2 linked regions of the Pelodiscus sinensis genome follow. The protein of the gene in region 2 purifies or fractionates together with the protein of the main gene of each other region. This does not show direct contact. Links are inferred from orthologs where the notes say so. Each region holds a gene or a part of one and is shown on either strand. Other genes may lie near its edges.

Evidence for each region.
Region 1: the proteins of CAPZA2 (region 2) and MTCL1 purify together in Homo sapiens (affinity purification with mass spectrometry; 3 studies listed by BioGRID and IntAct, counting the BioPlex papers as one, with this or other methods). This does not show direct contact. The link is inferred for Pelodiscus sinensis from reciprocal best matches to the Homo sapiens genes CAPZA2 and MTCL1.

The regions. Positions count from the first base shown.
Region 1 is NC_134712.1:84,715,905-84,719,650, reverse strand, and holds the start of MTCL1 (microtubule cross-linking factor 1), read right to left. Parts: upstream 2,780-3,746; 5' UTR 2,156-2,779; coding exon 1,190-2,155; intron 1-1,189. UniProt on the Homo sapiens protein: Microtubule-associated factor involved in the late phase of epithelial polarization and microtubule dynamics regulation.
Region 2 is NC_134711.1:45,679,415-45,683,160, forward strand, and holds the start of CAPZA2 (F-actin-capping protein subunit alpha-2), read right to left. Parts: upstream 2,328-3,746; 5' UTR 2,233-2,327; coding exon 2,179-2,232; intron 1-2,178. UniProt on the Homo sapiens protein: F-actin-capping proteins bind in a Ca(2+)-independent manner to the fast growing ends of actin filaments (barbed end) thereby blocking the exchange of subunits at these ends.

The DNA of each region.
Region 1 (3,746 bases), on a different chromosome or scaffold from region 2:
TACACTGCAGGCTTCTTGCGCAAGAACAGCTGTTCTTGCACAAAAACTTGGAGAGCGTCTACATTGCACGCGCGTTCTTGCGCAAGTAAATTTACATTAAAGTGTCGGAACAAAGGGCTTCTTGCGCAAGAGTTCTTCCTCTCCCCACGAGGAATAAGCCCTCTTGTGCAAGAGCTCTTGCGCAAAAGGCAATGTGGACGGGCAACTGGGGTTTCTTGCGCAAGAAACCCCTCTGGCTAAGATGATCATCAGAGCTTTCTTGCACAAGAGAGCGTCCACACTGCCATGGACACTCTTGCACAAAAGAACATTTCTTGCGCAAAAGTACATGGCAGTGTGGACAAGCTCTTGCGCAAAACAGTTCCTTGCAAGAAGCTGGCAGTGTAGACATAGCCCTTCTGTGTTTCCATGTTATTTTAAAGGCTTTGGTGAATATAACAAGTAAAACCGGAATTTTGATTTGGTGGGTGATTTTCTTCCAAGAGATGCTGACTTTAAAAATACTGTTAGATTTCAGAAAAATAGCTTCTGAATTTTGACTAACACAATTACTGCATCTGAATTAAAGAATCTACTCCTTATGGTTTCTGTTGCAGCAGGCTGACTTGGGAGAAATGTACTGGATTCCTTTCAGCAGATTTCCCTGTCCAGCAGGCCTTTTATGGAAGACTAGATTTTATAAGACTCAAAACAAAGCCATCCACACACCCCCATCTTCCAAAAGTTTTATCCAGCCTACCGCAGTGCTTAGAACTGTACTGGAGACAAAGGATCAGAGCAGTCAGGGCCCCTGTATATCCTTAAGTGCCAGTTTTTGCGGCACTGCCAACTAGTTGACTGCCAAGCGCTTAGCTACTGATCTCCATAGGCTCAATGAACACTCCCCTTGGCCCATCCACCCCACCACAGCTGCGGGGCCTTGGGTGCGGGTGTTGCTGGTTTCCATTATATACAGTTAAGCTCAGTGGAGGACAGCACTCCCACTGTAAACATTCTTCCAGACCCCTCACACCCCCCCCCCCCGACCTGCAGAAGGAAAATGCCCATCCAACAATTGCCACCTACCCCCTCCAGCTCCAGCCCCACCCAGCCACGTGCACCTGCTCCACCGCTAGTCACTGGGGAGGGGGAGGCGCCTTCCCGCCAACCCATCCCACCCCTGCCCCTCCTCCCCCCCGGCGGGCTCTACCTTGAGATAGTCATTTTCCGAGCGCAGCTCCTCGATCTCCCGCAGCAGCTCCTCCTCCTCGGCCCGCTGGCAGGGGGCGGGCGCGCGGCTGCCCAGCCGCATGGCCCCCGGGCCGGGCGCGCTCTCCGCGGCTCGCCCCCAGCTCGCCGCGTCTCCCGCCGCGCTGCCTGGGCTGGCCCCGGGGGCGGGCGAGGCGGGCTGCGGGCTGCAGGGCGGGGCGGGCCGCGCCGCGGCGGCGCTGCTCTCCGGGGGAGGCTGGCTGGCGCCGGGCAGCGGCGTGCCCGCTCGGCCCGGGGCAGACGGCGGCGGCTGCTCCCGGTCGCTGGAGCCGGTGCCGGACTCGGCGTCGCTGCTGGCGGCCTGGGCCGGGCGCTGCTCGTCGGAGAGCGGTTCGGAGGGGCAGTCGGACAGGTCGGAGCTGCTGTCCGTGTGGCTGAGCCTGGCCGGAGCCGCATGGCCGCTGCCCAGTCCGGGCGCGGCGGCCGGGGCCAGGGAGCCACCCTGCGGCAAGGGGGCGCTTCTCTTCCCCTTCCTGCCTTTGCCGGGCGGGTGGCCCGGCTCCTGCCTGGCCCCGGCCTTGCCGCCCCCCTGCTCCTGGGCCCGGGACGCCTTCTTGCTCCACAGGGCGGCTTTGGCGCTGCCCGTTCGCCCGCCCGCCCCAGCGGCTGCCGCTGCCTTGGCGCCCTGCGAGCCGCTGCGCCTGGAGAGGCGGCTCTGGGTGGCCAGGAGCCCGGCGGATTGGGGCGAGGGGCCCGGCTGCGGCGGCTTCCCCGAGAGGCTGGGGGATTTGGGAGGCACCGGCGGGGGCTTGGCGGAGGATGCCCGGCCGTGGAGATCCTTGAGGAAGGGCCTGGCTGGGGAAGGGGCTCGGTTCAGTCGCTTCTTCTCGCTGTAGGGGTGGTGCTGGCTCTGCTGCTGCGGCTGCTTGAGGGGCTCACTGGGGCTGGTGCCATTTAAAGTCTCCATGGTCCAGGCAGAGGAGGAAGCAGCCGCAGCCGAGGGGGTGTGGGGCACTTGAGGCTCTTTAATCCTGGCCACCCACAGGAATGGCAGCGGCAGCCAGCCTCCGGGCACAGCGCGGCAGCACGAGCAGCCTCCCCCAGCCGCGCCGCTTGTCTTCTCATCACTTCTGCCGCTCCCCAGCCACGAGCCTCACACTTTTCCTCTTTGACCCCCACCCTCGCCCCTCCGCGCAGCCCCCACCCTCCTCCGTCTCTTTCCGGCGCTGGCTCGGTTCAATCACATGCAGGCAAATCCGTTAGTGGCAGGCTGGCAGCTTTCTCCTTCCCTGCCGCGCTCCCCGGCTCAGCCTGATGCAGCACCAAGTTGTTTTGCAGCCCGAGCCATCCACTCGCTTTTCCTTTGGTCCGAGGCGAATGACTGTTTGTTTTCCAACGTCCTCCTCTTCTTTCCCCTGAGCTCACACACCCTCATTCCTCCGCCCCCAGCGGCTACCCCATCTCTCTCCCATCCCTCCTTCTCTCTCGCCTGCGGCGCCCTACAATCTTCCCAGGGTCCTTCCTCCTCCTGCTGAAATAGAGAAACTGCAAAGCCTGCTGTCTCTCTCTCTCTCCGCTCCTGACGCTTCCCCGGTCTGTGCGCATGATCCTCCCCCCGCTGTCACCGAGCCAAACTGCTCTGTGCGAGCCACTTTTTCCTAGAGCTCCCTGTATGCGTGTTTATAACGCCTCCTGGACTAGTTACTACCTATAAATCCAGATAGAAGGACATTTCATACTTCAGCTATTAGGTTAAATATGTTTTTTAGCACTTCACTGCTTTGCAAATAATCTCTCCCAACAGGTTTGCCTCAATAACAATCTGCTACCTGCAGTTTCTCTTGCTGAAGACACCAGTAAAAGCTAGTTATCCAGAAGATCAGTAGCTGGCTATGTGCTGAAATAAAAAATGGATGGAACAGTCCCTTTGGTGCTTACCGGGGTATAAAACAGTAAAGAGATACATTGGAAAGGTATCTACATATTAAATGAAAGGAAGGAGGAATTAAGGCACAAAAAGGGACCTGCCCAATCTAGTGGTTTAAGCATAGAGAGAGACAGGAGATTTCTGGCTCTTCTGCTGACTCACTGTTCTCATCTGTCAAAAGAGGATAGTAAATAAATACATATCTCACAAAGGTGCTGGGAGGCTTAATTCATTCCTGTGTAAAGCTTGGCATAGAAGGCTCTTTCAAAACGTGCCTGTGTGACTTCATGGTCCAGCTCTCTAGTCACTGGAAGTTGGGTGCTTAACATTCTTTGGCACTGTTGAATGTCTCACTCAATATTCAAAATGCAGTATCTTACTATGAAAGGTGGGAGTCGCAAGGATTGCTGAATGTAAGAAAGCCAGATAACCACTCATCCCTCCCAGAGAGTCAGCGCATGCTAACCAGTGGATAGCGCCTGCCTCTGAGTTCAAGTGCCACACTGGAATTTAGATTTATATCTGTATCTGCTGCTGCAGTGCAGTAGAGAAGGTATTGCAATATTGGTACCATTCTCTGGATGAGACATTCAAGAAACTGGGGTGATGTATATCTTTAAAGACCTCTTGG
Region 2 (3,746 bases):
AGGATTTGTACATTTTGGATGGAGAAACAGAATTGCAAGAAGAGACCTCAGAACTTCATTAGATTGGTGATAGAAGAACCTAGACTCAATTAGGTGGAGGGAGAGTCAATTGATTTGGGGAGGGGAGGGGGGGCAGAAACTTATTTACTGTAGCAGAGTGAAGATATGGCAATGCAGTGACAAGTAGCCATAAGTACTTCTCAGCCAGATAAGTAAATGTTGTTTCCAAGTTTATCCTATCCAATTTATTTCCCTATTTTTAAAGTAACTTTTCCATACAAGGCTTGGATGGGACTAGTCAACTACAAATTTGTATCTGTTAGCCTTTACGGTTGCTAATTTTACTATTTCTGCTGCTTTTAACACCACACACACAATGTACTCAATAAATTAAAGGGAAAAACTACAGCCGTAAATGTCTCTGCCCTTAGGAGCTATGAACCACTCTATGCTCTGGTGCTAAATTACTATATGAGGAATGTAATAGCATAATCTATTAACTGATATGCAAAAACTTATAGGTTAATGGTATTGACTATATACATTTCCTTCACCACCCTACCCCCTCCCCAGCCAGTACATTTTTAGTAGACTTACCCTGCTGCAGCTCTGCATTTAAATTATATTAGGAGCTGCACAGGCAGGCAGCCTGGCTCAGTCCTGGCTCCCACTGGGTCCTGGACCTACCCCCGCTATGGCTCTACATTTGAAGTGTACTAGGAGCCACATGGGCAGACAGTCAAGCTCAGTTTCGCCTCTTTACCAGAGTCAACAACACTGGGCAACAAGCAGCCAGTCCACAAGGGGAGCTTGGTTGTTCAGGAGTGAGGCCAGAGTGCATTGGCTACCAGCCCCACCCCCAGACACTATAGAATAGTCAACTAACCGATAAGAATTCATGGGGTTACTTGACTATTCAATTAACCAATATTTAACGTCCCTATACTATACCTTTCACTGCTCTCAGTGACTTCATTTACCCATCTCCTTCTAAAATCCACTGCTAGCAGGCCTGATATGTAGGAAGGCTCCCACATTACAATTAACATTACAGAAGGCATTTTCTGTCTTCTCTTTAATTTCAAGGAAATGTAAGATCTCTCTCAATTCCTTAAAATCGCCCACACTTTTGAGTTGCCTTTACAGCTTCATCAGCCTTAAAACTGTATTTATTAGAGATGAGCAATAGGAGTTACATAAGGACATGAGAGCTATACACCACCATGATGTTGGCATATCTCCACATCCTGATTCTGAAGCCTCCTTTTCCATCTGCAACTGCAATGTGCCTTGGTCCAAGAGAAGGAGGACAGACTGAAAAGAGTAGCTTTAACACTCGGGTTTTACAAGATGCCCTTCCCTTATGCATCATCATTTTAGGAAGCTATTTTCAAACCACAGAGGCCAAGTGAGCAAAGAAAGATTTCACATAGCCAAGGGAAAAATTATAAACATCTCGCTGATCCAAAACACTGAGTCTCCTGGAAATGTATTTGCTCTGCCCTTACAATTCACCTCTAAGGATGGGATCTGAAGTCCCCTCCCACGCTCGCCTATCAATGGGGTGGGGGGAGGTGATTCACACAGAGGCTCACTCCTCCAACCTGCAAGAACTCTCCCTTCACTGTATCCCCGGAAGTAAGAGGAGCTCCTACAGACGCCGCCCCCAGGCTCTTTGCAATGGGGGCCGGGAGGAAGACATTGAACTCGGCCCTTACGAGCTATGCCTCCGAGGAGGTCTGGAGACAAGGGAGCGGCCCGAGCGGGCGAGGGGAAGGGCCCGTCTCCGAGACGCCACCCGGCTCGCTCTCTCCGCACCCCCGATCAAGAGGCAGCAGCCGCCCCAGGGCGAGGACCGGGCGAGCCCCGGAAAAGGCGGGGGGAGGAGGAAGGAAAGTGGCAGCGCCTGAGGCCGAGCTCTTTGGGCCGGCCGGGCGGCCTCACGCATCGGACACCGGATCCTGCCCCCAGCCCGGCGCCTGGGGCCTATTTTCAGCCCTCGGACCGTACAAGGCGCGTCGGGAGCTGCCCCTGGGCCGGCCCCGCTGCCGGCAGACTCTGACTGACAGCGCCGGGAAAGGAAGAAGCTAAAAATACAAACGCCGCCGCCTGAGGCAGCGAGGCCCCATCCCGGTCGCTAAGCCCGCCGGGGGCTCCAGCTGCCCCGGCCCGCGGTACCTTCTCCTCATCCGAAAGCTGCTCCTCCAGGTCCGCCATCTTCCGCCCCGCCATGAACAGCCGCCGAGCAGGCTCCTCCCTCCGGCAGGAAAGGCGGGGCCCTCTCACGTGTCTCCCGGCGCCTTCCCCGCGCGGCTCGAGAGGGCGGGACCGCGGCTTGGCCAACGGCCATTGCACGTACGCGCGTGCGCGCAGCGAGGGGCGGGCAGAGCGGAGAGGGAGTCGCATTCGCCGGGGCTCGCGCAGCGCCCGCAGATTGAGGCGAGCTGGGTCCCCGGGGGAGGGTCAGAAACCAGGCGGGTAGATTTCGCGCGGGAGGGGGCGGTCAACGTGTTTCGCCTCAGCTCCCTTGTGCGTGAGCGGGGCCGGCGGTGATGACCCGGATACAGCCGATTTCCGGCCTCTCGCCATTGAGCATCCTCCCAGCACCGCTCCCTGTTGGTCTGTAATGGAAAAAACCAAGGACCAGTCCTGCAGCACCTCAGAGACTAGCACAAATGTAGATGGAATCATGAGCTTTCAAGGGCACAACCCGCTTCTGTAGCTGACTGTGATACATGTGAAGGGAAGCGCCACACTGGGTCAGATATAAGGGCTATACTGTATTTGAGCCCTGGGAGGACAGGTCAAATTGACAGATATCCCACATGGAGAAGCAATTGTTTTTACATTTATTCTTATTTAAATAACATGTTGACTGTCACACGCTTCCACCATCCATAGGCATGGGATTAATAGCACCTGCAGAGAAAATACAAAACTGTGCTCGAGGTTTCAAATATACCCTGACACAAACATTCAGTTGTTACAAGGGGTTAAGACCCAATAGGTGTGCCTCACCCCCACAGCAATGATGGCCCCTGTCTCCAGGTAATAGCCTCAGGACTTCACCGAGAAGTCTGTAGGAATGCCTAACATAATGAATGCTAGTGGGAAGGGGGTAGTTTTAGAAGGTAAAATAAAAAAAGAACAAGTTAAAAATCACCTAGAAAAGTTAGATGCCTGCAAGTCACCAGGGCCTGATGAAATGCATCCTAGAATACTCAAGGAGCTGATAGAGGAGGTATCTGAGCCTCCTGTTGTCATCTTTGGAAAATCATGGGAGACAGGAGAGATTCCAGAGGACTGGAAAAGGGCAAATATTGTGCCCATCTATAAAAAGGGAAATAAGAACAACCCAGGAAACTATAGACCAGTTAGTTTAACTTCTGTGCCAGGGAAGATAATGGAGCAAGTAATTAAGGAAATCATCTGTAAACACTTGGGCTACGTCTAGACTGGCATGATTTTCCAGAAATGCTTTTAACGGAAAAGTTTTCCGTTAAAAGCATTTTTGGAAAAGAGCGTCTAGATTGGCAACGGAAGCTTTTCTGCAAAAGCACTTTTTGCAGAAAAGCATCCATGGCCAATCTTGATGTGCTTTTCCGCAAAAAAGCCCCGATCACCATTTTCGCGATTGGGTTTTTTTGCGGAAAACAAATCTCAGCTGTCTACACTGGCACTTTTGCGCAAAACATTTGCCCGAACGGGAGCAGCATAGTATTTCCGCAAAAAGCACTGATTTCTTA